Notamacropus eugenii: one gene and its partners. The protein of the gene in region 1 purifies or fractionates together with the protein of each later gene. This does not show direct contact. Links are inferred from orthologs where the notes say so. Each region holds a gene or a part of one and is shown in the gene's direction. Other genes may lie near its edges. The genes, in order: COPA, COPG1, COPB1 and COPG2.

Region 1 (7,840 bases):
ATGGAGGAAAGGTATTGCATGGGAAATAATGGCCACAGGTGACAAACACTTGGAAAAAGCTCCAAGTTTGAAATAACTTTTACAAAGATTTGAAGTACACTGTAGACAAGAGAAGACAAACTTGGACCCCATTTGGCCTGCAAAACCAAGGAGTGCTGCAAAATAGATTTAAATGTAATTGGGACATTTTTAACAAAATAAATGAAAAAACAATACAACATAGATAATGTTAATTTGTGGTTTCCTAAGTCAGTACGTAAACTATGATCTATTTCTAGTTGAGTATGACCTGTAGATCTCTCTAATTGTACTATATGTAACCTACGGGGAGAAAAAGGGATAGTGGCTATGAAAGATTAGTAACTCCTGCTTTAATGAGGCTTGGAGAAAAGAAAAATGATAGGAAACCTAGATTCTAGTCTGGGGAGCATCCCTGGTTCACTCTATGACTTTAAACAAGTTGCTTAATCTCTCTGGGCAAAAATGGCAATCGGCTGAGCTGCTCCCTAACCCTCTCCCCAGGAAGAGACAGACTGTATGAAAAAGGAACCTGCACAAGCCTTTGAGCTCCCTAGGGAAAGGAGTCCAATAAACATGGGATATTGTTATCAGTAAACCAATACTGTGCCTCACTATTTCCCCAGAGGATTATCATGTTAGCAATCCCAATTAAAGAAGGTGTAGCCTTGTTCAGAGGTGGATGAACCTGAAGAGGGAAACTTAGACCTAGCCAGATTGAAAAGGAAACAGGTTTCTAATGAGGAAATAGCCTGAGTCTTGCTCCTCCTCTTTCCAATGCTCAGCTTTGCTTATAAGATCATACATTCTACAAGGCTGTGGTAAACATAGGTAGCATGATGGATGAGTCACTGCCAAAAAGGGTTTAAAAGACAAGCACTGTCAGAACCTGGTTCCAGGAGAATGGGGTTCAAGCCCCTATACTTAAGGTTGGAACTGAAACTGCAGTTAGAGACCATAACAGATCCACTATCCCTCATTCCATGTTGGGTATATTTCCAGCAATGATCCTATAACTTAAGGGTCTGTCTAGAACTAGCTAACCCAGCCAGGAAGTAGCTACTGCAGTCATGCAACAAAACATCAACTACTTGACTAAAGACAGGACAGGCTGATAATGGGGAGATAACACACTAGTAATCCAGGGCTCTCAGAACCATTCCACCCATTTGAACAGTTCTCTTCATCATGGTGACATGGTATCCCTAACTATCCCAGATGCTTTATTTCACAGCAAATAGCTGCTGAAACCAAAATACCTATTCATTACAATCTACAAAGACTAAGCTTATCTTTATGAGTTTAAAGAAATACTCTCACTGAACCTCAAATCCTCCACTGAAAGAAAAGAAAGAAGGAATATTTCATCATTTTTTATGGAAAGAAAAGAACCCACATCTCAGAGAAGTGAAATAATTTGTTCAAGGTCACACAGTATGGTAGAAAGAGTTTCATACTAGACTCTCTGTACTAGTCTAACTTCCTATTTCAAAAGGAAATTTGATGTCCAGAAATAGGTGCTGCTGATGGAATAAAAATCAAATCATGGACCACCAACCACAGGGAGTCAATCACCCCATTCTCTCCTCTGTGATATTCTTTTATGTGAAGCTTCTTAGCACCACCTCCTGCTTCATCTCTCCTTCTGATAAGAAGAGTTTCATGATTTCATTGAATGTCATTCCCATGGATGACAACTCATTAGCATTCTCAGAGTTTCTTCATTATCAAACAATTCACTGCTTCTCAGAAGTCCACCTCAGACTCTAAGAATATCACTGTACAATAGAGAAATAGTCAAAAGATCACAGATCCTGACTTGAAAGGAAATTCAGAGACCATCTATTTACAGCATTTATCAAGTGCTAACTATGTGCCAGGTACTTTGTAAGCTCTTGAAATATAAATACAAGCAAGACCATTACTCCAATGAAGAAGCTTCCATTTTTGTCCCAAGTTATTTTACAGTTGAGGAAACTGAGGCTCAAGCAGGTTAAATGACTTGTTCAAAATCAAAAACAGAGCAAGCATCAGAGGTGGGATTTGAATCCAAGTCTTCTATTTCTGAGCCACTGCTCTTTCCACTGGACCACACTTACACACAGCAGACACGAACTGTTTTCAAAAGAAGAAATACAAGCTACTTATCACCACTTGGAAATGCAGAGGGTCATTAATAATCAGAAGAAAAGAGAAATTAGGATAATCCTCAAGTATATAACCACCAAGTGGCAAAGATGTTAAAGGAGGAGAAAACCTATCCCTGGAATAGTTACAGGAAAACAAGAAAGATAATTAACTGATAATGGAGTTATGGCTTGGTTCAACCATTCTAGAAAAGTTTGGAATCACATAAGAACTTATTAAATTGTTCATTCCCTTTGACTCAAGAGATTTAATTTGACCTACATCTCAAGGAGCTTATCAAAAGCAAAAAAAGACATATATATATATATATTTTTTTAATTTACAAGATTATTTGTAATAACAGAGAGTGAGAAACAAAATACATGCCCAACGACCATAGAACTAGGTGAATAAATTATACTCGAATTTAATGTTACTGAGCCGTAAAGAACGACAAATGTAAAGAATTTGGAGAAACGTGGGAAGACATATGAAGTAAATCAGAAGTAAAAGAAAGGTAGATATCAATATACAGATACAGAAGGGCAAAAAAGATAGATATCAATACATAGATATGGATTATCTATATAGATAATCCATATAGATATAGATTATCTCTATCTAATGACAATGTCATTAAGATCAGTATAGAGAGGTAACAAAGGACTGGTCAAAAACAATGATCATCAGCACTAGACAAAGTTAAGACAATTCTGTTTTTAAAAAAATCAATAACCTGTAGGGGGATGTACTTTGTAAAGGGGTTTGTTTAGCTATTTGTTGGGAAGGATTTGCTGTGTCAAAACAAAATGTATGGAATCAGAAGGACCTAGGTTCAAATCCAGCCTCAGATTCTAGCTGTGTGACCCTCGGCAAGTCACTTAACCTCAATTGCCTCCAAAAAAACCAACCAATCAAAAAATGTATTAGTAAATTTATTTTTTGAAAAGATCAATGTAACAGTCAGATGTAATCCCACTGATTTCCCTTCTTCCCTATTCTGACTGTGTTCTGCTACCCCCAATTAACTTGCAGTCTACCTAATACAGGCTCTGGAATTCCCGGAGCACTAAAGCACTAATTGCCAACTTACACTGGCAGCCAATCTGGTGAGTGGCATTGAGCAGGCGGACACAGGGAGCCGTTCTGTTCAAGGGGATGTAGATCTTCCTCTCCACTGAATTTGTTTGGCACAGACCTGAAGAGAAAGCAACAGGTGTAAGAAAGAAGTTTTAAAAATAAAAGGGGCATAGTTCCCTTACTCATCTTCTCAGCAAGGAGGTGGCATGAGACTGGCATATGTCAGCAGGAAAAATTCTGGGTTGGGAAACTTGGGTTCTAGTTTTAGCCGTGCCTTTAACCTATCTATCTCCTTACGTTAAGCAAATCACTCAGCCTCTCTGGGCTCAGTTTCGTGGTCTGTTAAATGAACATAATGCATATTATCTTCACTCAATATGTCCATTAGGACACAGGAAGGAGCACGCTCCTTCCACCCCTCCCCCCAAACACTAGAGAAATCCAAGTTTCTTACTAACCACGGTAGCGCAATCACACTAGTTCCCAGATAAGAGAAAATGTGGTCAAAGGAAGCCCTATGTGTGGATTACTGATTAATTGTAAAGAGTGCGAGCTCCAGAGCAGTGCCTGGATTCAAAGTCTTTCTCTGTATTCCCAAGAAATGAGGTGGAAAGGGAGGAAACCCGGTCTACACACGCCACTGTCAGACGCAGCTCTTACAAGTTCACCCACTACAGTCACGGGAGGGAGATCCTGAAGGACCAAGGCTACCACCTTGGGGCTGGGGAGGGCACGGAGGTAGCTGGAGAGAGGGAGCCCCCCCCCCCCCACACGAGAGGCACAGGAAAAGCAAACCCCAGCTGCAGCCCCGCCCCCCGCCCCCCAAAGCTTCAGGGCCAGGGAAACTTCTCCTCGTAGCTCGGAAGAGCCAAAGCGGCCAAGAGTCCGTCTCCGTCTGTTTGGCAGAGAGGAGAAACTGAGGTACAGGGATGGGAACGAGCCTGATCCCAGACTCCCACCGCCCGGGGGCCTCCAAGAAGCCCAGCGGGAAGGCGGGGGCCTCGGACAGCAGCTCCTCCGGGCTGGGGGCAGAACGGGGGCTTTAAATCCTCGAGAAGCGCGGAACTTGTGTCGGGGGAACGCCGAGTAGGGGGGTTTGCGAATCGGCGGGACGGAGGACCCAAGGGCGCCTGGGCGGTTTCGGAGTAAAGGAAGTTCTCGCAAAGAGGCCCTCGCGGCTCCGGGGGGGTGGGGAGGGCTCACCTGCCAGCAAAGGAACGAAGCAAAAGAGGAGGCAGGTTCGCCGGCCCCCAGAGGCGGCTCCTCCGCCGCCCCCAGCAGTGGCCATCTTGCCTCTCCGGGCCGCTTCCGCCTCCTGCCCCCTCCAGCCTGACAGAGGCCTCTCTAGGCCGCTCCCCTGCCAGTCTCTGTGGCCTTCAGGCGGAAGTGCGTTAGGCGTAGGGCGCTTCCGGCTGCGGCTGCGGCTGCGGGGCGGTGCTGACGTGGAGGGGACCCGGGCCAGTCGGGCTGCGCTTCGGGCCGCGGCCGGAACCGAAGCCGGGGCCTGGACTAGGGCGGACAAAGATGCTGACCAAATTCGAGACCAAGAGTGCGCGAGTCAAAGGTGGGGAGGAAGGGGAAGCCGAGGGACCCGGGGTGTGGCGCCTGAGGGAGTGCCTTCGCCCTGGGGGGGTGGGGGGAGGGGAGGAAAAGCGATCCGAAATCTGGGGCCTGAGGGGATCGGGTCGGAGCCTGCCTGGAAGGAGAGGGACTTTGGTGATCCCTGGGTTTTCCCCCCATTCGCTCTTTCAGATCTGACCCCTTTTATTACGTTTCCCCGTCTTTCTCCCCTCCCCCATTCCCGGGTACCTTCGCTATCCAGAACGCCTTCCCCGACACAAATGTATGGGGTGAGGGGGGAAATTCGTATTTCTTACTTATTTAACTGTGATCACGTCCCAGTGTACTGGAAGGTAAGCTCCTCAAGTGCACAGACTGCCGTATAATGTTTTTTCTATACCCCCATGCCCAGCACTATCCCATAATAGATAGGCCCTTCTTGCAACCTCAGTAGGTTGGTTCATTGATAGACCTATCTATGTACCTTCCCCAGACCCCTCACTCCCCACCATCCCCAATCACCTTGGGTACACACACAGTCCCATTCCCCTCCCTAGTCTTTCCTGGGCTGTGAATGAGGGTTGTCATTGTTTTATCCTTTTGATTTCTCTGAAAAGGTGAAAGGATGGACAGGATAATGTTGCTAAGGGTTTACCAGCTCCTGGTCTTTCTCTAGCTGTCAAGGCTCTATTTAATGTATCAAAATTAAGTATTATGGGTATAGTTCTTGGGTTCTGAATTCTGATCCTGTTCCCACCTACCTGTTTCTGTTAGGTAACTTTTGCGAGAAAAGGACTAATTACTTCTACTTTAGAAGCTGCAATATTCCCATCCCATTGATTTTCATCAATTTCTTCTGTCGCCAGACTATCTTGTTCCTCTACCTTGTAGAGGCAGTTGATGGTGCAATAGATAGAGCCCTGGGACTGAAATCAGAAAAGACCTGAGTTCAAATTTGACCTCAGACACTTGCTAGCTGTGTTACTCTGGGCAAGTCATTCAACCTCTGATTGCCTCAGTTTTCTCATCTGCATAATAGCGACAACAGTAACACCTCAAAGGGTTGTGGTAAGGATCAAATGAGATAATATTTGTAAAAAGCACTTAGCACAGTGCCTGGCATGTAGTTGGCACTATATAAATGCTTATTCCTTTCCCTCACCTCTCCTCACCTCCTTTATGTCTGTACTCTAAAACCTGAAGGTTTTTGACTGACCAGGTGAGGAGATGAGAAGAGAAGGGTATGCTTCCCAGGACTCTGTCAGGGATTTCTCAATAAAATCTGAAGAGGAAGGAAAAGGTAGGGGAGTAAACTCTATAAGGATACTAAAAGTCAAATCCCATCTTTTAGGTTTAGTAAGCAGTGGAATTATAAAGGGTCATTCCGAGTTTATCAGGTTCTTATGAAGATCTTGATTATCATAACGTACATTTAAGGTTTTTCTATGACCTTAAGTGACAAGGAGTTAGTAGTTTGAACAAATAACTGTTACAAGAACTTTTGTAGCATTAGTACAGAAGCCCTTGGTTACAATTATGACTTCTAGAGAAGGAATTGTAGGTAGAAATCCCATGTCCAAAGTGTTCAACTGTTACATATGACCATAAGCAAGCCATCTGTTCCCCAAAAGCCTTAGTTTCTGAATAAATGAGAATTAAAATATAGCTAAATTTTGACTTCTCTGAAGAAAGGTGGAATAAAGAGAGATAATAGCTAATCGCTTATCCTCTCCCATCTATTACAATACATTCTGTACTCTAGACTTGCTGTTCTTGGTACATAGTGTTGTATCTCTCGTCTCTGTATCTTTTGTTGGCTCTCCCCTTGACTAGAATTTTTCATTCTCCTCACTTCCATTAATGGAACCCATGGCTCCCTTCAAGGTTCAGCTCAGATAACCATTCGTTCAATAAATCTTTCCTGATTCCCCTATTCTAAGTATCTGCTCCCTCCCCTCCATCACTTTGTATTTATTTTGTGTATATGCTGTAGTTACTTCTCTGTCAATATATTGCTTCCCCTATTAAAATGAAAGTTTCTTGAGGACAAGGATTGTCTTATTTTATATTTATATCCCCAGTACTTAGGATAGTGCAAGCACTTGATAAATGCTTATTGGTGTATTGATTACGGGATGTATCACACAAGAAACATTAGTCTGTCAGTAACTTTCAAACCTTTTCATAATGCAACTACATTATAAAAGATGTAACTTATATTTCCTTAAAAATTCCTCACAAGTATGTCAAATGAGTTCAAATTGACATCACTATCCAAAAAAGTATTAACAGTCTGGAATATTGGACTGAAATCTATCATAACTAACTTGTATAAGAAAAATATAAAGTCCATTACTTCAGTTCAAAAAATCACCATTACAAGTTAAAGATGGAGAAAAAGCATGGCTAGTCAACAGTTCTCCTAATTAAGATCTTGAGTGTTTAATGAATTGCAAACTCAGTGTGAGTTAATGGTGTGATATTGTGGCTTAAAAACTATTGGTATTTTAGGCAACGTTTAGAGATATAATATACAGAACAAAGGTGATAATCCTGCTGTGCCATGACATGCTTGGATCACATCTAGAGGTATTCTTTTTTTGGACACTACATTTTAAGAAGGACATTTATAAGCTGTACATCATCCAGAGGAGATGAAGGACTTCACGATGACCAGTTGCAAGAACTGAGGACTTCTGAAGAAGAGAAGATTTAGGGAGGGCTCAATAACTACTTCAAATATCTTAATAGCTGTGTCTTTGATCTCACACGACAAAACTAGAATCAACAGGTAGATATTTCAGAGAGGCAAACTGACTTGACATAAGGAAACATTTCAAAACAATTAGAGGTAACAAAAAGTGAAATGAGTTGCCTTAGAAATGGATTTCCCATCCCTAGAGGTCTTCAAGGCTGAATGATCACTTGGGGCTATTATAGAAGTGATTCTAGGTGAAGTAGGTGTTGGATTAGATGACCTCTGAGGTACATTCCAAATTTGAAATTCTAGGATTCTGAGATGCATTGATTTCTTTCTATAAGGAATTTAGAGGTT
Region 2 (7,723 bases), on another chromosome or scaffold:
CCCCAGGCTTAAACCATCATCCAGCTCAGGTGTAGGTGCAGAAAGGTCAACATATCACAGAAGGGCTAAAACCATCCAAGCAGAGCCCAAGTAAACTCATGATGGCGGAGACGTAGGTATCACCACTGATGCTCACATGTGTGGTTCGTGCTGTGAATATATGCTAATGCATATGTGTCATTTTTTGTATTCTGGTTTTCTTTTTTACTTTTTATGTTTTCTGATTTATGTACTAATGACATGCATTGTACTAATATATTACTGTTGCTAAGGATGCTTACTAACCATATAATTTTACTGTTTTACATTCACATCCTTATATACTAGGTATGTATATTCATGGGTCTTTGTAAGGTATTCTTGTAATATATCCCGCATATAATTTAGGCCTCTAGTCATAAAGTAGTTCTATCAAGTGATAATTTGCATTATGCAGTGCTTACTGCGGGTAATGTTAACATAGCTATGATCTGTAAACAGTACAGTGGAATGCTTTAAGTTGCTGTTCAAGTGTATCAGTAAAACTTTGTGGGGACTATAAAATCTTTTGCTGAGAGGTAGGAATGTAACAAATGTGTAGTTAGGAAGAGCCTTTCTTTGAACTTTTTGGTTTCGGCCCAGAACTACACATTCCACAAATGAACCGGAGAGCTCAGAAGTGTCTAGTACTAAACAGCGAGGAGATGTGGTTAAATGTCAGGGGAAATGGAGTTCTTTAAAAGACTGACTGGACCACGCAGCTGTGGGATTGCCCAGGACAGGGGAACTGGACTCATACCAAGAAACAGTCATACCAGACAACCATGATATCCACGGGGTTGGATTCAACTTGCCTGGTAGAGGGAGTCCCTATCTTCTTCCCTTGGGCTTTTGGGATGGGAGACTGTAGCCACCTGGGTTTCTGGGAAGTCAAATGACATTTCGATAAGTATTTTGAGAGAAGTAAGGTCAACATACCTGCACTGGGATTTTGTAAGAGAGCTCAAGAGTTCTCCTGGTCAGGGATTGGTTGAATTGGAAAGCCTGACGGTAACCTCCCCCACCTGTCCCTTTTTTTCTATTTATCACTGACATTGACAGGAGGAATAAATAATATTGTTCCTTTGCAAGTGGCTTCTATTAATGTTGATTCTCTGGGGTTTTTTGGGACAGCTAGGTGGCACAATGGATAGCTGGGAGTGAGGAAGACTCTTCTTCCTGAGTTCAAATCTGACTTCAAACACTTACTAGATGTGTGACCCTGGGCAAGTCACTTAACCCTGTTTGCCTCCATTTCCTCATGTAAAAAATGAGGTGGAGAAGGAAATGGCAAACCATTTCAACTTCTTTGCCAAAAAATATCCCCAAGAGTCAAACACAACCCAACAACAAATACTGTGTTTATTATCTTTCTATGTCTTGTAGTAAACATACCTAAACTATTATTTGAATCTGTTTTTCTTTTAGTTCACGTGGATTAGGGACTGAGGCAATCAAGATATGAACCATACACCTAAGATATATTTTAGAGATGTTCATGGAATCAAAGTCAAAATTGTAACATTTAGGAAATATTTTATGTGAATGATTCTTTCACATTTTTAAAAGCCTAGAGAGAGCCTAGAAGAATCTGGATCAAGGTTAGGGGGACAGAAGCTTGCCATATATAGCAACCTCAACAACTGTGGTCAGCTATTGAAAACTGTGCTTCCAACATCTCCCTTGAGGAGAGACAGGATAGAAGAGGGAAAGAAACAGGCTCTTATTAAATGGCTACAACGTGCTGGGCAATGTCCTAAGAATTTTACAAATATCTCATCTGCTCCTCACAACAACCAAGGGAAGTAGGTACTATTATTATCTGTATTTTACACTGAGGAAAATGAGACAGAAATTGAATGACTTGTCCAGGGCCACAGAACGAGTAAATTTCTGAGGCTGAATTTGAACTCAAGTCTTACTGAGTCCAGGTCCAGTGGTTTAAAAACTTTGCCACCTAAATGGACCTCTAATATTACTGTTATAGGGAGTTCCTTCTTGCTAAGAAACTTTTCCTTTCAGCATTTATTAGCATTTTTCTGTAACCATTTTAGAGAGTTGCCTTGAGGGATGGGGATAAAACTTCTCACTCTATGAGGAACCTTTCAGGCCTCTTGCTCTATGTGGAATGTCTATCATCTAATTTCCTTATTTTACTAATAAGTAGAGGCTAAAGAAGGTGACTTGTTTAAGGTCACAGAGTAAGTGGGTGAGGTGGGAATAGAACCCAGTCCTCCTGTGCTGTGGTGAGGGATGTTTCCATTCTAATTATGCTGCCCCCACCTAGGAGGGAGCACATTTGTTTGGCATCAAAGAATAAAGAAAAAGCATTGGTCTTTGATTCAGAAGACTGGGATTTGAATGCTGTGATCTTGGACAGGTCACCTAACAAATGAGATAATATTTGTAAAATGCTTAGCATATAGTAGGTTATATATATATATACATATATATGTACATATATGTATATATATATATATATATATAGCTTAATTCTTCTTGGCCTCAATTTACTATTTATAAAAAACAAGGGGGTTATATCTCTCCAGCTCCTGCTTGCTTTCCATTTATGATCTTCCTGTTGTGATTCGTGGCTTTCTGGTCCCAGGTGTGACAGATCCCTGGATGGAAGGGCTAATACGTGGCATAGGAGAATTGCTGGTCTGTGGCTTCCTCTGATTCTGTCCTAAGAGCTCCCTCAGGAGAGAGCAGGGCTCTAGTGACAGACAATGCATCTGCTGTCTATGCTGGCTCATCATAAGAATGTTGGCCATGGAAGGAGAACTATTTTTGGCCATACCAGGTCATGAATATCATCTCGCTTAGGAAGGGAGTACCCACCAGCACTGAAGGAAACATTAATTTTAAAGTAGAAGTTCAATTGAACATTTTATCTTTCACTATTTTTACATCATTCTCTGTTTCATAATGCATCTAAGTCATGTCTCCCCAAAGAGACTGCGGATTCCTTGAGGGGAAAGATAGATACTTTGATTTAATGATGGAACCTAAGATTGGTATACAGTTAACACTCAATATTATAACAATCCATATTTGTATAGCATAGTGCAGTGTACAAAGCATTTTTCTCACTACCCTATGGAGGAGATAGGGAAAAAAATATTAAGTGAATTAAAGAGGAATTTCCACATCCATAGGTCTACTTATGGTGTCTATGCAGGTAACTCATCAAAGCTAAATATTCAGCACCTCCCTCTCTTCTGAATTTCAGTCTTGCATCACCAATAGCCTCTTGGACTTCTGGAACTAGAAGTCTTGGAGATAGCTAAACTCAACATTCAAAAACAAAGCCCATAGTATTCTTTTCCTCTACCCTCAACCCCCTGATTTTTGAAAATTTCCTATTCCTGTCCCAGGTACCACTATCCTTCCTGTCTCCCAAGTTCCTAATCTCAGCACTATCATTAACTCTTTAATTTCCCTCACCCCAAACATCCAGTCGGTTGCCAGATCTTGATGTCTCTTCTTTCACGACTTTTCTCTTATCCAACTTTCTCTCTGCTCATTGAAAAATCCCCCCTATTTCAGGTCCCATCACCTCTCATTTCAGATTATTGCACAGGCCTCCTAACTGGTCTCCCTGACTTCTCTTTCCCCATTCCAGATCACACATCTGCCTATATTACACCTACTCAAAAACTCTAGTGGCTTCCTATGGTCTCTAGGATTAAATGATCCAATAAAAACTCCTCCGTGTGCCTTTCAAAGCCCTTCACAAGCTGGCCCCGACCTCTATTTCTGGCTGCATTATACATTACTGTTCCTCCTAAGCATCTTGGTCCAGTCAAACTGGCTTTATTCTAGATCCTTACACACCAAGCCCTTAATCTCCCATCTCCACGCCTTTGCCTGGAAGGTACTCCTTCCCCACTTCCTCCTCCAGAATGTCCCTTTTCCTTCTGGATGGTTAGCTTTTATCTTGTCTTTCTCCTGTACATCTGCAGACATGTATATAATGTCTCCTCGAACAGAAGCTGAGCTCCTCGGGAGGAGGGACTGTTTGATTTTGTATGGGTTTCACCAGCTCCCACAACAGTGACCAGCATGGGGCAGGTGCTGGATAAATGCTTGCGGAAGGGAACGAGCTGTTCACACGATTAACTTCACACTTGCCAGGCTCGTGGTCACCGAAGACAAAGGTCCCGGAACGTGGAGTCCACGGAGAAGCTCGGGTTCAAAGCCAGACTTTGCTCCTTCTAGTTGGGTGACCTCGGCAAAGCCCCAACTTCTGTTTCGTCGTCTTTAAAAAAAATGGGGGGGAGCGGTGGGCTAAGACTCTTCCTCTTCCTTCAAGCTCCAAAGGACAAGACCCCACGACAGAGGAGATGGATGTCGATGGAGGGAAGCGTCCTACCTGGGCAGGTGGGCCCGCGGCTGCTGAGGAGCCACGCTCCGCCCCGGGCAGGACGGGGTTAATGGAGTAAGCCCTGAACTTGGTCAGTTACAGCTTCCAGCTGGGAGGCCTTCAGGCCATAGTGTGCGCAGGCGCGAGCAGAAGGCGCAGCACTGAGCCCGCCCCACACGCGGCAGGATGTGGTTAAGCGAGAGCGCCTTCTAGTGGTCTATCGAAGCTTCTTCAGCTTTCCGGTCAGTGTGCGCAGGCGCGAGCAGAAGGAGCAGGGTTGAGCCCGCCCCATACAGGGCAGGATGTGGTTAAGCGAGAGCGCCTTCTAGTGGTCTATCGAAGCTTCTTCAGCTTTCCGGTCAGAATGTGCGCAGGCGCTGGCAGAGCGAGCTGTCTCGGGCTCGCAGGAGCTCAGCCTTACAGAACTGAGCCGGACACGACAGGGTTAAGCCGAGAAACGTGTCTGCCGTCCAGGTCAGAAGGCTCGAAGTAGACGGGTCTAGGCGTGCGCAGGCGCTCTGAGAGCGAGGGGGGCGGGGTACGGGAGGATCGCGCAGGCGCGCTACGCAGGGAGACGTGTCCCCCGGACTGGGTGGCCGGAAGTAGCCCGTACGGACTTGGATCTGGCCGGGTCTTGCAGGCGTCTGCCCGGTCCGTCAGTGCTGTCTGTCAGTTCAGCCGGCCCCCAGGATGCTGAAGAAGTTCGACAAGAAGGACGAAGAGTCCGGTGAGGGCCGGGGGGGCGGCTCCGGGACCCCGGGCCTGATGCAAGGCGGAGGGGGACCCCCTCTCCCCATGCCAGCTAACGGGCCGGGCGGGGCGGCCGGGCGGGGCCGCGGGGCCGGCGGGTGGGGGGCGTCCTCACTGCCCGAGGTCAGGGGCCCAAGCTGTTTGGGGAGCACGTCCCTCCTTGTTTAAAGGGAAGGCCTGCCGGGTGCCAGGCCCGAGTGAAAAAGCTGGGCAGACCCTGTCCGCAAAGGGCTTATCTTCTGCTGTGCAGCGTGTCACATACTTACAGGACGTGGGGGGCCGTTGACAGTGGGGGGACAACATGTCAGATAATTACAGGACATGGGGGAACGCTAACAACGCTGGGGGGGAGCAGCATGTCATAATTACAGGACGTGGGGGGCCATTGACAGTGGGGGGACATTAACAACACTGGGGGGGAGCAGCATGTCGTAATTACAGGACGTGGGGGGCCATTGACAGTGGGGGGACATTAACAACACTGGGGGGGAGCAGCATGTCGTAATTACAGGACGTGGGGGCCATTGAAATGGGGGGACATTAACAACACTGGGGGAGCAACATACAGATGTTGGGACTTGGGGGGGACATTAGCAACACTGTACATTCTTAAGGATTTATATTATCTTAGAACCAGCAGCATGTGTACATACAAGTAAATGCAAAATTCATACAAAGTAAATAAATAATCCAGGAGGTGAGGTAAGGGGATACAGTAGCACCTGCAGGGATAGGTAGATAGTGTTATTTGAACCAAGTGTTCAAGAAAGCTGGTTATTCTAAGAGTCAGAAGTGAGGAGGGAACACTTTGCAGATACAGGACAGCTTTTGCCATGACATCAAGATGGACGATGGATTATGTGTGTGCATATTAGTTTGGCTGGAATGAAAGGTGCATGAGGCATGTGATATGTAATAAGTCAGGAAAGGTAAGTTTGGAGTAAGTGTGAAGAGCTTGCAATACCAGCTGAATTTTGTTTTATCCTAAAGGTTATAGGGATTGGAGCTTTTTAAGCAGTGGATTGATCTGGTCAGGCTTTGCTTTAGTAGTGTCACTTTGGTAGCTGTGTGAGGGATGGATTGGGGAAGGGAAGGATTTGAGAGAGGAAGACCATCTAATAATCCAGGCAGAAGGTAATGAGTTCCTGAAGTAATGGTAGATGTGTGAGTGGAGAGGAGATGAATGCAAGAAATGTGGTGGAGGTAAAATTGACATTTGACCATGTTGGATGTGGCAGAGGTGAAAGAGACCTAGTTGAAGTCGCCTCAAAATTTTGAACCTGGGCAAGTAGAATAGTGGCATCCTTGATAAAAGGATAATGTGGGAGGGAGAGTACTTAAGGTACTTCAGCCAGCGTGAGGTACAGAGACTTTTACAGGATAATAGGATTGAGAGGTGGCAGAAATCTTAGAGACTATCTAGCCTAAGCCCCTTGTTTGATAAGTGGGGAAACTTGAAGCCCAGAAAAGATGAGTTTACCCCCAGGCAGCACAGTAGGTACCAGAGTCAGGACTTGAACCTAAATTAATCTCTTCCATTTATTTGTTCATTTATCCATTCATTACATCATTCTGTCTTTCATATTAGTAATTTAACAAAATGTCTACTATGTGCAAAGAGATATCAGTCAGTCACTAGCATTTTTTATGCGCCACCTGTGTGCTAGGCACGAAGATAAATGGAATAGATGCCTTCACAGAACTTATAATCTAATAGTAACCAAAAAGTATTCAGATATAATGCATGTTAAATGATTATAACTGTGTAAGGGGAATGTCAAAGTACTTTGAGATCAGATGAGACCAATCACTTTCAGCTGTCTAGCTTGAGGCAAGAAGGAGATGAAGGGGGAATTCAGGAAAGGCTTCCTGGAGGAGGTGGACTTTAAACTGGGCTTTGCAGAATAGGTAGGATGTCAGATGATGGAAGTAGGTGGAAGAAGACTTCCAAATTTAGAAAGTAATATAAATAAAAGTTCAAGAGTAGAAAAATTCAGGTCAGTTTAGGAAACAATGAACCAGTCTAATTTCACTGGAATGTGGAGTACTTGAGGGAAGGTAGAGTGAAATAAAACTGGAAAAGCAGGGAGGTCCCAGATGGTGGGAGCCTTAAATGCCAACCTGAGAAATTCAGAGACAGTGATATTGTCTAAGAAGTTAAAGTATTCATAAGATTACAGGTTTAGAGCTAAAAAAGACCGAAGGGTCATCTAGTCCAGCCCCTTTTTATTGATGAGGGAATTGGAGACCAGAAACATGCTTTTACTTGCTTGATAATTACTCAGATTGTAAGTACGTAGTAAGAATCAGAACTTGAACTCAGGTCTTCTCCACATCCAGTCCTCTCTCTATTGCATTATGCCATCTTTGTTCCTGTCCTATACTACACAGGGTGCTTACTACTCCTTGGAAGTTAGTTATCAGGAAAGATATAAACCCAGAAGACCAGAAGCCCACCAGGACCTGGGAAAGTTCTGTCTAGTATAAACTTTGGCACCATCCTAGTTAGAGAGAGACAGAGGAAGGGCAGAAGGATATCATAAACTATTCAGCTGTGGATTTGAGAAGCTTTTGATGACATACCAAGAA
Region 3 (7,023 bases), on another chromosome or scaffold:
TAATTTTCTTGAAATTTGCTGAACTAAAAGGGAAAAAGAATATATCATCACCTTCATTCTCAGCCCTCAAATAAGGACGACAGGGCAGTGAAGCTGGAAATCTCTTGACCAGCTGACAGGTGTAGTTTGGAATAGAGGGTCTGGGGTGGGAGGAAACACCCCAATTATCTGGGACCCATTCCTTTAAAAATTGGCATTTTTTCTAAAGGAAATAGCCATCATTCTAGTGAACATCATGGAAAAGTAGAATATGGCACATGAGCTGTGAAGGAAATTAGGTTGTCTGAGAGGCAGAGGTAAGGTTGGGAACATTTAACAATCCTGGGGAACAGATTCTGCCATTCCTCAGTCCATGGATATTTGGGTAGTTAAGAGTTTTTCAATATTATAAATAACAGTACTACAAATTTTTTGTACTCTTGGGTCTTTTCCCTTGTCATTAACTTCCTTAGAGTATGTTCCCACCAGTGAGATCACTAGGTGAAAGGATATAATCTCTAGTTTCTGTTCTTAAACTTGTGACCCACCCCTTATCACCACTGTGCGAAGTTAAACTCATTTTAATTTAGACATAATAAAACACTAGTAAGAAAGTCAGTCTTGTAAAAAAAAAAAACCATATGGCCCAAAGACCAGTACCAAAGACGGGGATTATTTGCTAGTTTGCCTATAATAATCACTGACGTCTAAGTAGTTTTATAGTTTAAAAAGGATTTTGCTTACAACAACCTTAGGAGGTGGGCGGTACAGGTTTTGAGAGTCCTATTTTTGAAATGAAGAAACAGGTTTTAGAGAAGTGAAGTCAAGCCAGCGAGTGTCAGGTGAGTAATAGCACCACTCCCATCTCCCCTCAGACTAATGGCAAACATCCCAAGACCCTGAACTTAGGAGCCTTGGGAATAGCTAGCTATGCTTCCAGCCCAGTGCCCTCAGCTATTTTCCTGGGAAACAGCTCCTGTGGAGAACGGGTCAACCATCCCCACCTTCCGCCAGCCTAGCTGAAGCAGCAAGGGCCCTTGAGGGAGAGATAGGCAGCAAACCACCACCCTGATCACCATCTCCCCTCAGGCCTCAAGGAAACAGCCCAGAATTCTGAGACCAAGAGCCTTGGGATCAACAATTCCCTCAGCCATTGGCCCCTATGAGATGCAGCCTGGTCATTGTTCCTCCTATGGTCACAGCTCCTGCCTTACCGTGTGTTGCTAGCTAGCTGCGTGTTGCTAAGTGAATTGACCTTTCTGGATCTTAGTTTTCCTCATCTATAAAATCTATAAAATGGGGATAATAATATCACCTCCCTTACAGATTATGAAGATGAAGTGACATAAAGCACTTTGGAAACCTATGTAATCTATGCAGCACTGCGTTCATTATTATTATTATTATTTATATGTAACATATTGACTAGCATGGTGGGAAGATTTGAAACTGACATTTAAGAATTGGTTGAAAGTACTGGGCTAATTTAGCCTGAAGAAAAGATTTAATAGGATTTATCATAGCTGCTCATCAATACTGTCTGAAGTTATTTTGCCATGTGTTATAGGGAATGGATTTAGGGGTTTTTTGACCCCAGAGGGCAGAATCAAAAACAATTGTTGGAAGCTATCGAAGCAAGTATTTAAATAAATACTTCCTAACAAAGCTATGCCGAAGGGAAAGGGACTACCTTGAGACATGATCTTCCTTGAAGGTCTTCAAGCAGAGGTTGAATGACCATTTCTCAGAGATCTTAGGTCTTAGAGTTGGAAGGAACCTTGGAAATATACCTTGGAAATGACTCCAACTGCCTTGTGAAAGGAGGGCAACAAGGTGGCACAGTGGAAGGTGCACCAGGCCTCAAGTCAGAAAGACCTGAGTTCAAATCCAGCCTCAGACACTTACTGTGTGACCTTGGGCAAGTCACATAACCCTGTTTGCCTGAGATTCCTCATCTGTAAAAACAGCTGGAGAAAGAAATGACAAACCACTCTAGCATCTCTGCCAAGAAAACCCCAAATGGGGTCAGGGAGAGTGAGACATGACTGAATAACAACAATGATAGGGGAAAAAGTATGAAAACTTCCAGAATTGGAACAAATTTTGAGTGTTTTCTTTAAAATCTCAAATGAGTAGACTTGGAGGATACGATAGAATAGGTAATAAGTACCTGTTTGATAATAAGATGACTAGAAAGGGCTGATACCTTGTGGGAAACAATAAGTTTTGTTTCCACAAGCTTTGGGTGATCAGGATTGTGACCTAGCACGGTTAGGTCAGAGGTCAGAAACTTGTGCACAGGCTTGACGAGCTGTTTGTGGCAATGGACAGTGTCAAGGGACATCCAAAATTTGGAACAGTATAAGAAGTTTCCATTATTCTGAATGTATTGTAGTCTTCCTATAACCCTACATCCAGCCTCACTACTCCAGAGCTATCTGAATCCAGGAACCAGATATTCATCAAGATGACTGGAGATGACCCAGGATGAGGCAACTGGGGTTAAGTGACTTGCCCAAGGTCATACAGCTAGTGAGTGTCAAGTGTCTGAGGTGAGATTTGAACTCAGGTACTCCTGACTCCTGCTGTATCCATTGCACCACCTAGCTGCCCCTAGGAGAGAAAAGATAAAACTCTTGGGAAAGGCCTTATGTAGTAGAGTGCCAAGGAAGAAAGGGATGCTAGGCACCTTCCAAGAGACTGCCTGGGAGGGCACAAAAGCTTCTCAAATTATTCTGATAGTTTCACATCTGCCAAGGGAATAAAACCTTTGCCTGAAAGCATTAATCCAGTGTGATCAATCACTGGCAATTCTCACACAGGGTCAGCAAGTCTGATGGCAACAGAAATATACTCCATGCTGCTAATTCTGTCCTGGGGAGGACGGTGTTGGGTGCTGAGAAGCTGTAGTAATAGGAGAAGGGAGGGCAGCACGTATCAGGCCAGGTGAGCCCTCAATACCACCAGCAGTCCTGGAGAGACTCATGGAGCCATGACTAGGGAATGCTTACCAGAGATAGAGAAAAGCAAGATCTGACCAAGTGGTGAGGCTGTCTCTAGCATATACTAAGAATTTTATGAAAATTCTTTGAGTTTTCTACTAAAGCAGGAAAATTCCAGCTATCATGAACCTTCTTGCAACAGCTACTGACAGGGTACCACTGACACAGTAAGGCGCTATATAAATGTTAGTAATTACTATTATCCCTATTATTTCACTCAACCACTGTGCAGAGCCTCCAGGACAGGGACCATCTTTGCCTGTTACTGTATCCCCAGTGCTTAGCTTAATGCCTGGCACATAGTAGGTGCTTAGTAAATGTTTAGGAAGTGACTGATTGATTGCTAAGGGCAGAGGGTACAGATATGAAAAACGAAACATTCTCTGCCTTTGAAAGAGCTTACTGTTACACATCCAGTAGCAGAGAAGAATCTGACAAGATATAAACAGGAAATATAAGGCTTGTAGTTCTGTTGTGTGCCACTCTCCCTGACCCCCTTTGGAGTTTTCTTGGCAGAGACACTGGAGTGCTTTGCCATCTCCTTCTCCAACTGAAGAGGACCCTGAGGCAAGCAGGGTTACATGACTTGCCCAGGGTCACACAGCTAGCTGTACTGACTCCAGGGGCAGCGGTCTGCGCCCTGTGCCGCCCAACGACACGATACATTGTGTCAATTATATGCTGTATGTTGCATTACGTTACATTATCGTTACTCTTGCTATTCTCAGCTCCGCTCCAGGTCTCTCCGGGGCCCGGAGCAGGGCTACGCCGCCAGGATCCCAGGGACAGAGGCGCGCTGAGCCTAGGGATGCGTAGCCAGCCTCGGCACCGCGCAGCCGCCCAGCAGGGGGCGGGGATGGGGCGGGGGCCGAGGACGTAGGAGGCGGGCCTAGAATGTGGGGGCGGGGCCTAGGACGTGGGAGGCGAAGCTGAGCGGCGGGAGGAGGCGTGTCCTCTCCGGGCCGCCGTAGACACTAGGTGGCTTCGGTCTTCATCCCTTCCACGTCAGCCCGGGACTCTGAGGAGCCGGAGCCGCCGCTGCCGTTGCTGCCGCCGTCACCGCCCCGGGCCGGGTAGCGGGTAGGAGTCGAGGCTAGGCCCGAGTGGGGGCCGCGCCGCTCCGCTGGGAAGGGGCGGGAGGGCGGCCCTCGGCGGGGTCGCGTCCCTGGGCCTGCTCGGCCCTGTCCTCGGAGCCCTCCCCCCAGGCCGGGCAGGGGGCGGGAGTGGGGGAGGGGGGACGCCTGTCGGGCCTCCGACCCCCGACCCTGGGGGTGCTGACACAGCCCGGGAAGCCGGGGCTTGACCTGTAGCCCTTCCTGCCTGGGCCGGAGCCGCCCCACCCAGCCCCCCCTCCCCCGTTCCACCTTGGCTTGCCCGTTCCCCACGGCCATCTCCTGACCCCGGGCTTTTCCCCCGCCCGTCCCCGCCGCCCGGAATGCTCTCCCTTCCCTTCTGTGCCCCCGGCTCCCCTCGAGGGGAGGCTTTGCAGGGCAGCTCTTCCTGGCGCTCCCTGGCATTCCCCTGGATGGTGTTTGCAGGCAGCGTGCCCTAGACTGGCAGCTCCTGGAGGAGCTTTTATATCCCCAGCGCCCGGCATACCACAGGCGCCTAATAAATGCGCGTTGATCGACTGTCCCTGTCATCCCTATAATGATGTCCCATCATCACAAAGATATCCTTTGGCCCTTTAGCTCTTAGAAATCTCCCCAAAACCACCCTGAAGTGGGTAAAGAAAAAGGGGGGATAGGCAGAAGAAAAATTGCCCCCATTTTACCTTGGAAAGGAAATGTGAGGGACCTGGGGTCTCCCAGCTTGTAAGGAAGGAAATGCAGGTGTCTCCCAAACCCCCTCAGTGGCCTGGATCCTGATGGACTCTGCAGGATGGGGGGGCAGGGTCTGGCCTTGTCCCCAGCTGCTGGGCACCTCTCTGCAGCCTAATCTGAGGGCTGCCAGTCTCGAAGGCTAGACTGGGCGGAAACTTGTTTTGTACAAGGGATGCCTGGCGCACGTTTAGGTGACCCTGTATTCATTGCAATGAAATAACTGCCTTGGAATCTTAGACTACAATTATTTTTAAAAAATGGAGACTGCCTCCCCACCATGCCCAGGCTGGGAGGGCATTGGCTGCACACAGGCTAGTCCTGGCCTGGATCAGCCCAGAGGCTTTGATTTTGCTACTTTTCCAACTTGGGTCACTTTGTCCTCTCTTTAGGCAGCCAGGTGGCTCTTCCCCCTCCCTCCCGAAGGCTCCCATATTGGTACTGATGCCCAATTGACTTTAGTGAGCTAAACATTTCCCAACTCAAGCAGTACAGCATCTTCAGCTTCCCCAGTCATAAGATTCACAGACATGCGATGCTATGCCAGGCCAATCTTAAGATTGTTTTAAAGTTATTAAGCAGACCTGAGTGTATTTTCGTTGCCCATGTTAGAATTATGTTTGTTGACTTATCGAAACTTTTAATAAGTAATGATATCTTGTACTTATTCTAGAATTTCTGATACCTGTCATCAAAAATACTTGCACTGTGGAGTACCCATAACCAAACACCATGACTGCTGCAGAAAATGTATGCTATACGTTAATTAACGTACCAATGGATTCAGAACCACCATCAGAAATTATCTTAAAAAATGACCTTGGTAAGTGAAGGATGGGAAACCTTGACATGAACATATTTGTTTATGGAGGTAATTTATAATTAGAAACATAGATTTTTGTTTGATTTCAATACACGAGATCCATGGTTTTATCTTTGTGTGGCCCGCCATTATCAGCATAGCTCACAATCCTACTTAAGGTTTATTTCGTGTACCATCTTCATGAGTTGTGGGACAAAGTTTGTTACACTTTGGCTAATTTTCTGGGAATGTGTTTTTCTGAACCTTGCTAAGCTGGTTTTCCAGTGATAAAAAGCAGTTTTTCAGAACTTTTCTCCTTGGTAAGCCAGAGCTTGAACCTTGTTGACACAGCCTTTGTGAATCTATGGTCATCATCACAACATGAAGAGGCATAAAAGAAAGGTTAATGTAGGGGATTTTAATCCAGAGTTTTTATATGAAGAAAACCGTGTATAAATAGGTTAGTAAAAGTGCTTCTGAATATTCTGTGATTATCTGTCACTAAAAATGAAAACCTCTTGTGCTAAGACTTTGCATGTATTATTCTTTGTTTAAATTTCCAGCACCTACATGGTACATTGCATATATCAGCACTCACCAAATATTTTTTAAATTGGATTGAAATTTGAAAGTAGGACGTGGTCTGAATAATGCAAAGAGAACATAAGAGATGGGCTGTGCGATGAGACATTTGCAAGGTGCTTTGCACAGTGCCTGGCACAGAGTAGGAGCTATGTGAATGCTTGTTCCCTTTCTCCTCCCAAAAAACACAACCTTGATTTTTAAAGGGCTTCTCTTCTTATTAAGAAGTGCTGGGTAATTGATGGTGTGTGTACAAGGTTGAAACTGTCTTGGTCTCTTTGTGAGACCCCTGTAGGGTCTTCTTATATTTCTTTAGGTAAACCAAAGGAGATGGACTTCTCACCTAAGATCCAAAGATTTAGGGCTAGAAGGAAAGGTAGCAGTAACAATAATTATAACAGTAAGTGGCATTACGCAGCAATTGACAGAGAGAGAGAGAGTGTGTGTGTGTGTGTGTGTGTGTGTGTGTGTATGTGAGTGTGTGTGTGTGTGTGAGGGGGTGTCCGTGGGTGTAGGTGTGTGTGTGGGTGTGAGGGGGTATCCATGGGTGTGTGAGTGTGTATGTGTGAGAGTGTGTGAGGGGGTGTCCATGTGTGAGTGTGTGTGTGTGTGTGTGATTTGATCCCCAGTGAAACATTGTTAGATGGGCAGCTGATAGGTATTATTATCCCTTCCTATAAATAAATAAACTAAGACTTAGGTTATCTATAGTAATACAAATACTAAATGTCAAAGAAAGAATTTGAACACAAACTTTTTTAACACAAACTCCAAAGTTCTGTATTCTTTCTCCTCTCTCATTCTGCCTTAATTCTCTGCAGAAACTGCAGGAAACTGA
Region 4 (7,909 bases), on another chromosome or scaffold:
GGAAATAAAAGTACTATTGCAGTTGCTCTAAACAAATCATCTCAGGATTATTGTGATCATTTCTGGGAAGCACATTTTAGGATGAGCCTTGATAAGGTGTAAAATATCCAGAAGAAAGTAACATAGATTAAGAAAGGTCTTTAGGTCATACTACACGAGTACTGGTTGAAGGAAGTAGAGATGTTTAGTCTGGGAAAAAAAAAAACTTGCTGTGGGCTGCCATGACTCTCAAGTATTCAAAGGGCTGTCACATAGAAGAGAGGTTAGATTTTTTTTTCACTTGGCCTCAGAGGGAACAAGTAGGAGCGTTGGATGGAAGTTGTAGAGGCAGAATAGGCTTGATTTAAGAAAAAATTTCTGGCAATTAAAGCTAATCATAAGTAGAATGGGCTACCTCTGGAAGTAGGTGATTGACCTCCCTTACTAGAAGTCTTCAAGCAAAGGCTGGATAACTACTGGTTGGGTATGATCTAAGGGGAAGCTCTTGTTCAAATATGGGTTAGATTTAGTGGATTCTGATGCCCCTTCCAACTCTAAGGTTCTGAGTCTGAGGTTTTGCCACTCCTTCTGGGGAACAGTGCTACTTTGGATGGATGCTGAAATCACACTATTTCAGGTGTTACTTTCTGTCAACTTCTTTGGGTGGAACTGGAACCCAATCCAGGTTCCAGTTCCACAACCTTAAAAGCCCAATGTGCCAATCTTGCCTTTTCACATACTATTGATGTAATCCTAATAAAGCTACCCCCAGCCCCAATATTCTAACTTCCTTTTGGGCCCTACTGAACAGCAGGCCCACTGCCCCTCCCTAGCCACTGCCCCCCACTCACACTCAGTACTCCTATCTTCTTCATATATGCATCACTGCTCACTAGAACAACAGAAGAGTCCATGAACTCCCTCTTCTCACAGAACAGCAGGCGTGTCCATGTGAAAGGACACCAGCCACTGCCCCCAGACCCACTCCTCATATTTCCCACAGAAACAGCAGGTGTATCCATGCACTCAACCACAACCGCATCCATCAAGTCTCAGACAGGACCACAGTAGTCAGCCAATCAGAAAGCAGCAGCACCAGGATGACCAAGCTGGATGTGGACCCCAAAACAATAGAAGGGACTTTCCCTAAGTGGGCACCTATGCAGAAATAGCAAAAGCTGTCCTTTAGATGAACTTATGACATAGAGAGGTTTATTATAATATCATTATCATACATACATAACCCCTTATGGGTTTTTTTCTGTAGCATTGTGAGTAATCGCATGTGCAGTTCCACTGAGGTTGGGAGCCCTCCCTTATTATCTAATCCCTTAATAAACTCCTCCTGCCTTTTTAATATTCATAATTTTTGTTACATAACTGCATCTTTACCCTATAAAAATCCATCTTGCTTTCCTAAAGTTGATAGTTCTTCTTGGAACTTAGCCCACTTAATGAGAGGCACCAATCTCAATAAATGCCTATACTTGGATGAGAGGTGTTTTGACTGAATTCTTTGAGATGGTTCCTCCACAACACATCCGTAAACCACAACACTATCATTTTCCCTTCTTCAGCCACAAGAACAACAGAAAATCACAACTCATGCTGGTCTCCCGCTGATGAAGAAGAAATTAAAGACTGAACCCAGGACTCCCTTTCCTGTAGCAATATTGGAGGATGCTATACCTAAGCGGGAACAGTGGTACAGGTGAAGCCCCAGCACTTTCCCTTACTAAGCCTCCCTTGTTCATGTGTTTGAGCACTGTGTTGGATTTGGAGCCTGGTACAGAGGCCAACTAGAGAGAAAGGTGACTCTGGAACTGCTATACCATATAGCACAGTAGTGGAGAGTGCTGGGCCTGGAGTCAGAAAGACCTGGGTTCAGATCCAGCTTCAGACACTTACTAGCTTTGTGACCCTAGACAAGTCACTTCACCTGTTTGCCTCAGTTTCCTCAACTGAAAAATAGGGATAATAATAGTACCTACCTTCTAGGATTGTTATGGGGATCTAAGGAGATTTATAAAGCACTTAGCACTTACCCTAGAACATAATTGCTTAATAAATACTTGTTACTTTTGTTCAACCTCCTTAACTACTTCCCTTCCTTTTCTCCTTCTTCCCTTCTTTTCTTCCGCCCTCTATTCCCCTTTCCTTCCCACCTTCCTTTATGTGCTCATAAGTCCTATAGGGCCAACTCCTAGTAACACCCTCTAAGATTCCATAAACCTCTTTTCTTTCAAACGCCATTAATCATAGGCTCCTTTCCTCTCTAAAACCCAGACAATGGAATTAACTTTTAACTGACAGATTCCCTTCTATCATGACCCTTGACTCTGGCTCCACTAAATGAATTTTCCCTGTTAAGGTTTTCCACCAATGCTGATTTCAAGGGTGAAGCCAAGTTTTCAAAGTTCCATGCCCTAAAGAAGCAGCAGGAAAAGTATCCTGAACTTTCCTTTGTTCCAGATTTTAGGTCAGGTAAGAAGAAAGATGTCGAAGTTCTCCTCCCTCTCTATTAAAGCATTGTTTTGGGGGCTGGATGCAAGTAAACACTAGAACTTGTTTAGAGAACAGGTAAAAAGAGGTTTGATGAATGTCCAGAGTAAACTTGCCTGTCACTTGTTCATACACAATGGGGATCAAAGCAGCAGAAGATCAGGTTCAAATCCCAACTTTATGACTACTACCTGTATGACCTTGGACCAGTTAACTCCATTTGTAAAATAAAGGAGTTGGACAAGATGGCCTCTGAAAGTCCTTTTAGCAGTGTGAAGTTGCTATGGCGTTGGACTTGGAGTTAGAAAGTCTTGGATTCAAATCCCAGCTCAGATCTTTACTGGCTGTGTGACCACCTGCAAGTGACTTAAACCTTTTTGTGCCTCAGTTTCAAGAACTGTAAAATGAGAAAGTTGGACTTCTTGAATTGTAAAGTCCTTTCCAAGCTCTAAACCTATGATCCTATAATCCTTTCACCTCTAAATCTCCTTTAATCTCCAGATTCCAAAGGCAAACTAAACAAACCTTTGAGATTTCCCTCTTTGCTCAATGAAGAACAATGTTCACACAAATCAGTGGCTGTCATAGAATTGAGGATTCATCTAATTCTATTTGGCCTCAGAGAGATGAACTTGGGTTGAAGTTATAGAAAGCAGATTTATGAGTAATGGAAGGAAAAATTTCTTTACAATTAAAACTGCTCAAAAGTGGAATGGGAGTTTTCCCCTCACTAGAAGCCTTCAAACAAAGGCTAGAGAAGGACTCCTTGGGATTCTGTTTCAGGTAGGGGTAAAACTAGACAGTCATTGGAGTAAATCTTTTCTGATTCTTAAGACTCTGTGGTTCTGAGTGGAGACGTATAGATAGGCAGAGGGGGAAAGAAGGGCAGTCCAAGTGGGTTCAAAGCTTGGCTGTCCCCCATGCCTGAAACACTCCTTACTTCTGCCTCCTCCTAGCTGACTTCCCTCAAGTTTCAGCTAATGTCCCACCTCCTGCAAGAAGCCTCTTCCAGTCCTTCATCTTAGTGCCTTCCCTCGGAGACTGCCAAATAATTTATCTTGTCTCTATCTCACATGTACTTAGTTATTTGCAAGCTGTCTCCCACATCAGACAAGAAGCTCTTTGAGAACAGGGGCTGTTTTCTGCTTTTCTTCGTATCCCTAGCGATGGTTGGGGATACACAGGTACAGAATGCCTGTCATATAGTGGGCTCTTAATCAGTGTTTTTTGACTAAGGGCAGAGGAGTAGAACGTACAGAGAAAGGGGGAGGACAATATGATCTCAAGAATATCTCACTGATGTTGACTGACAAATCATGGAAAAGAAGGGGGTAGAAATGAGCCTCATGACTTGGGAATACAGAGTGCCTCCTTCCTCCTAATGCAGAGTCAGTAAGCATTAAGTGCCTTCCATGTGCTAAGCGCTGGGGATATAAAGGGAGGCAAAAGAACAGCCCCTGTTCTCAAGAAGTTTACAACCTAACGGGTGGAGGACAGCGCGCACACAAATACAGACACAGCAAGCTATGTACAGGATAAATCGGACAGAATGAGCAGAGAGAGGCACTTAGAATCAGGAGGGCTGGGAAGGACTTCTGGCGGGAGGTGGGCTGGCAGCTGGAGGGCAGCATCCCGGAGGTGCAGGGACCTTCTCCTCGGTCGGACGGTCCAAGCGCCCCACTCCCGGAGGCACCACCTTCTCACGGCTTTCTCTGCTTGCCTGCAGCCGCAAGGGAAGCGAGGAGCAGACGGAAGATCTCCGTGGTAACCTGGGAGCCCCTGACCCTCGCGACCCTCCTGGAGGAGAAGCCCACGCTGACCGTGCCCTTGCCAGGAGAGAGCCCCTTCCGCTACGGGAGGGCCACGCAGTGGTTCATAAACACGACCGCGGTTCCTGACTGAGTCACGCGAGCTCCCGAGGCGCGGCACCCACTGCCACGGTCGGGCCCGCACTCGGGGCCTCCGCGTGACTAGGAGCGCCAGCCCAAAGGACCTCGTGTGTCTGTCACTCCGCGGCTCTGCAATGGGAGCTGTCGGTGCAGAATCGACCCACTTGTGCTCTCTATACGCGTGTTCGAGTGCATCTGTGCGCACGGAGGGAAGGGAGTGTTAGCACGGAGGGGAAGGCGTGACTACCGGCAGGGCGGGGCGGGGCTGACACCGCGCGGCAGGGGAAAGGGGCGGGGTTTCTGCTGGAGTGACGGGCGAACTGCCCAGCCAGCTGGAGGGATGGGGGCCGGGCTTCCGGTGGAGCCTGTTCCTCTCGGCGGTGTCGGCTCCGACGGTTCCGGTTGGCCTAGGGATCAGTTGTCGCGGGAGATGATTAAAAAATTCGACAAGAAGGACGAAGAGTCTGGTACACGCAGGGACCTGGGGAACGCCTCCGACCCCCACTTTCCAGCGCTTCCTCCTCGTAGTGCGGGGGCGGAGGGGCGGGGGCCGCGCGTCTTCCTCCCCCTGAGAGCTGGACGGAGGGAAGGGGGGAGGAGCGCGCGGGGCTGAGAGCGGCTCGGAGCTGGAGTCCCTCCTCCTCCACCAGGGCGAGTCCGTCGCGTGGCCCCTCCCCCAACTCGAGACCCTGCCTTCCCCCTTCTCCCCCTCCGGGTCCGGCCGCGTGCGCCGCGCCTGGCCTGCCCCACACCACCCGCCCCGCCCCTCGGCCCCGGCGCACGGGAGCCCTCCCCTGGCCGGCCCTCGGGCGCATGCTCCCGCTGCGCTGCCCCTCGCAGCCCTGCCCCTCCGGCCCCGGGGGTTGGTGGCGGAGAGGAGGCGGGGCCATGGCTGGAGGCGGTCGAAGTGAGCAGGGGAGGGGGCGAAGGGGCGGCGTGGGAGGGGGTGGGGGGCGAGGGTAAGAAGCGTGAGAACCCCCGGATCTCTGAAACCTAGGGCCGTTGCTCCTTGGTTCACATTCTCGGGGGGAAGCGAGAGTTCGTACACGCCCGGGGCCCCGACTTCCCTCGTGGGCCGTCCAGCCCAGCTCCGGGCTTTGGGGCCGGGGAAGCTGAGGGTGGGAAAATGGAAGGTTTAGGAAGGAGGGACGGGATCGCGGCTGGATTTGAAGGGCCCTCTCGTGGAAGACGGATTAGAACCTCCCCGCTTGCCCTCAGACCCAAAGGTGTCTCTTGTCAGGAGTAACTTGGCGTCGGTGGAGAGGAGTTGCCCACGATCAGGGCTGCCCCAAGTGGGCCAGGGCCGGCCTAGGACACGGTGGATCTCCCTCTTGGGGGACGTGGAGGGCGCTGGAGACCCCGGCCCCCAGCTGAAAGGGGGCAGACTCCAACACCTGGTGGCAGAACGGCGCCTTTGACCTAGACTCCCGGGGGGAACTCAGGCCTGCATCTTGGCTGGAGCGGAGGCGGGGCCTCCTGACTCTGGGAAGTTTCCCCTCAGTTTTCCTTGTTGCAAAGTTACTGAAATGAGTACTTAGTTAAAGAGCTCAAAGTGCTACAACAGTTTGATGCATGCTTGTCACAAAGGCCCATGGAGTTGGAAGGGACCTTGAAGCCCGTGCAGTCTGTCATGAGTCTCATTGAGAAGACCCCCTGCCAGCTAGACCAACTCCTTCATTTTTAAGATGAGAAAGTGAGATATGAATAGCGACAAGAAGCTCACGGATCTCACTCTCTTCTTTTGGATGCCTTCAATGGATAGGAAGTGCTTTCAGTCTACACCTAGTAATTCCTACTTATTTGATAGTTCCCAGTTTTGTCCCAGAAAATCTCAGAAGAATTTGTTCCAGGAAACTTGTTTTATAGCTTGGGCTTTCAGCCCCTACCACCTTACCCTAGGGCTATAGGGGCATACATTTAAAAAATGGAAGGGATATTAGAGGCTATCAAATTCAACCTCCTCTTCCTCCACGCACACTTTTTACAGAAATAGAAACTGAGTTACAGAGAGGTCACACAAGTAAGAATCCCAGCTAGGATCTGAACTTTTGTGTTCCTATTTCAAAGCCCGGCACTCCACCATTTACACCATAATATAATTCTTATTTAAGTCAGATTTTTGGTAAGTGTTCCAAAGTCGGGAGGTATGTCAGCAGAGCTAGACATAGAACCAAGGTCACTTCATTTCATCTACCAGCAACTTAGTAATGCCTGCCATTGTGGTATCCAGATGCTCAGGCTCTTATAAAAGTTTTCCTGAATTTGTTTCGATTTTTAAAATTTTGTTTCCAGTGTTGCTTAATTGTTGGTAAATGAATTTGCCTGTGGCTAGTTCTCAATACTATTTTGTTTTCTTTTTTAGGGAGTGGCTCTAACCCTTTTCAGCATCTGGAGAAGAGTGCTGTTTTGCAGGAGGTATGACTTAGAAGTATATTGTCTTTTATGTTTGTTTTCCCCAGAGTGGGATCAGAACATCTCTAGGAGACATTGGAGACATTCAGAGTTTATGTTGTAGTTATCATGACTGAAAAATGTTTGCCTAGTATTGAATTAAAGCATATAATGAATGAGATAAAATAATGCAGCCTAAAGGAAAAAAAGAACAATGTTTTGTCATTGGATGTTAGAAGAACATAAATATGCTGTGATGCCATGAAAATTTTGGTATGAAAGATGTCAAACAGGTACTTTGTATAAAGCTGCTGACAGAAGTTATAAATGTTAAATTTCATACCAGCTTTTTGAGTTACCTTAATATTGTGATTCTTATTTTGAAAAATGAAATTCTGAAATTAAACCGAAGGGAAAGAGTGGAATAGTATAATATAGAGACATATTTCCTAGTTCATTTTTCTAATATAATAAACTAAATGCTTCATTTAACTAATATTACTTAGACTTTATGATAAAAGAGTTTGACAACATCATTAATTTGTTGAAGACAATTTATTGAGATTTGTGATTGAGAAGGAAAAGGTACTATGTATTTGCTTTGCTCCCCCAGGCTCGTATCTTCAATGAGACTCCTATCAATCCAAGACGATGTCTACATATTCTGACCAAGATCCTTTATTTACTGAACCAGGTAAATGAAACTTAGGGAAGCAGTTCTTTCTGGGGCTCAGTTTTCCTAATCCATAGAATGAAAGGGTTTGACTAGATGAACTTTAAAGATCTCTTTGACTGCTTAAGTCCTATGGTTTTTTATTCTTTCAAAATTTGTCGTTTTTAAAAGTAAGCTTTTTTAAAATCCAGAAAGTTTATTTTAATTGAATAACAAGATTGAAAAGTCCTTGAGGGCAGAGACCATATTATGTACCTTTTTGGTATTCTCCCATATCAGTTTATCAAGTATATATTAAGCACTACACTGTACTAGGCCAAATACTTTGTGCTGGGGACACGGACAAAAATCAGTCTTTGACCTCAGTGATCTTGAATGCGCTGCTAACCATATAGGACAGGCACTCAAATAAATTTTAGTTTGAAATGAATAAAGAGTAATTTATTTTAGAAATATTTTGACTACATTTGTTCAG

The links.
Region 2: the proteins of COPA (region 1) and COPG1 purify together in Homo sapiens (affinity purification with mass spectrometry; 6 studies listed by BioGRID and IntAct, counting the BioPlex papers as one, with this or other methods). This does not show direct contact. The link is inferred for Notamacropus eugenii from reciprocal best matches to the Homo sapiens genes COPA and COPG1.
Region 3: the proteins of COPA (region 1) and COPB1 fractionate together in Homo sapiens (co-fractionation; 6 studies listed by BioGRID and IntAct, with this or other methods). This does not show direct contact. The link is inferred for Notamacropus eugenii from reciprocal best matches to the Homo sapiens genes COPA and COPB1.
Region 4: the proteins of COPA (region 1) and COPG2 fractionate together in Homo sapiens (co-fractionation; 4 studies listed by BioGRID and IntAct, with this or other methods). This does not show direct contact. The link is inferred for Notamacropus eugenii from reciprocal best matches to the Homo sapiens genes COPA and COPG2.

What each region holds. Positions count from the first base shown.
Region 1 is NC_092873.1:385,357,281-385,365,120, reverse strand, and holds the start of COPA (coatomer subunit alpha), read left to right. Parts: upstream 1-4,660; 5' UTR 4,661-4,749; coding exon 4,750-4,789; intron 4,790-7,840. Other genes in the region: NCSTN (nicastrin), read right to left, coding at 3,239-3,343, 4,429-4,513. UniProt on the Homo sapiens protein: The coatomer is a cytosolic protein complex that binds to dilysine motifs and reversibly associates with Golgi non-clathrin-coated vesicles, which further mediate biosynthetic protein transport from the ER, via the Golgi up to the trans Golgi network.
Region 2 is NC_092874.1:425,498,063-425,505,785, forward strand, and holds the start of COPG1 (coatomer subunit gamma-1), read left to right. Parts: upstream 1-4,629; 5' UTR 4,630-5,074; coding exon 5,075-5,111; intron 5,112-7,723. UniProt on the Homo sapiens protein: The coatomer is a cytosolic protein complex that binds to dilysine motifs and reversibly associates with Golgi non-clathrin-coated vesicles, which further mediate biosynthetic protein transport from the ER, via the Golgi up to the trans Golgi network.
Region 3 is NC_092877.1:37,925,231-37,932,253, reverse strand, and holds the start of COPB1 (coatomer subunit beta), read left to right. Parts: upstream 1-3,885; 5' UTR 3,886-4,061; intron 4,062-5,474; 5' UTR 5,475-5,533; coding exon 5,534-5,624; intron 5,625-7,023. UniProt on the Homo sapiens protein: The coatomer is a cytosolic protein complex that binds to dilysine motifs and reversibly associates with Golgi non-clathrin-coated vesicles, which further mediate biosynthetic protein transport from the ER, via the Golgi up to the trans Golgi network.
Region 4 is NC_092874.1:119,741,657-119,749,565, forward strand, and holds the start of COPG2 (coatomer subunit gamma-2), read left to right. Parts: upstream 1-4,705; 5' UTR 4,706-4,710; coding exon 4,711-4,837; intron 4,838-5,168; exon of another isoform or gene 5,169-5,183; coding exon of another isoform or gene 5,184-5,277; intron 5,278-5,373; exon of another isoform or gene 5,374-5,496; coding exon of another isoform or gene 5,497-5,596; exon of another isoform or gene 5,597-6,070; coding exon of another isoform or gene 6,071-6,155; intron 6,156-6,732; coding exon 6,733-6,785; intron 6,786-7,374; coding exon 7,375-7,455; intron 7,456-7,909. UniProt on the Homo sapiens protein: The coatomer is a cytosolic protein complex that binds to dilysine motifs and reversibly associates with Golgi non-clathrin-coated vesicles, which further mediate biosynthetic protein transport from the ER, via the Golgi up to the trans Golgi network.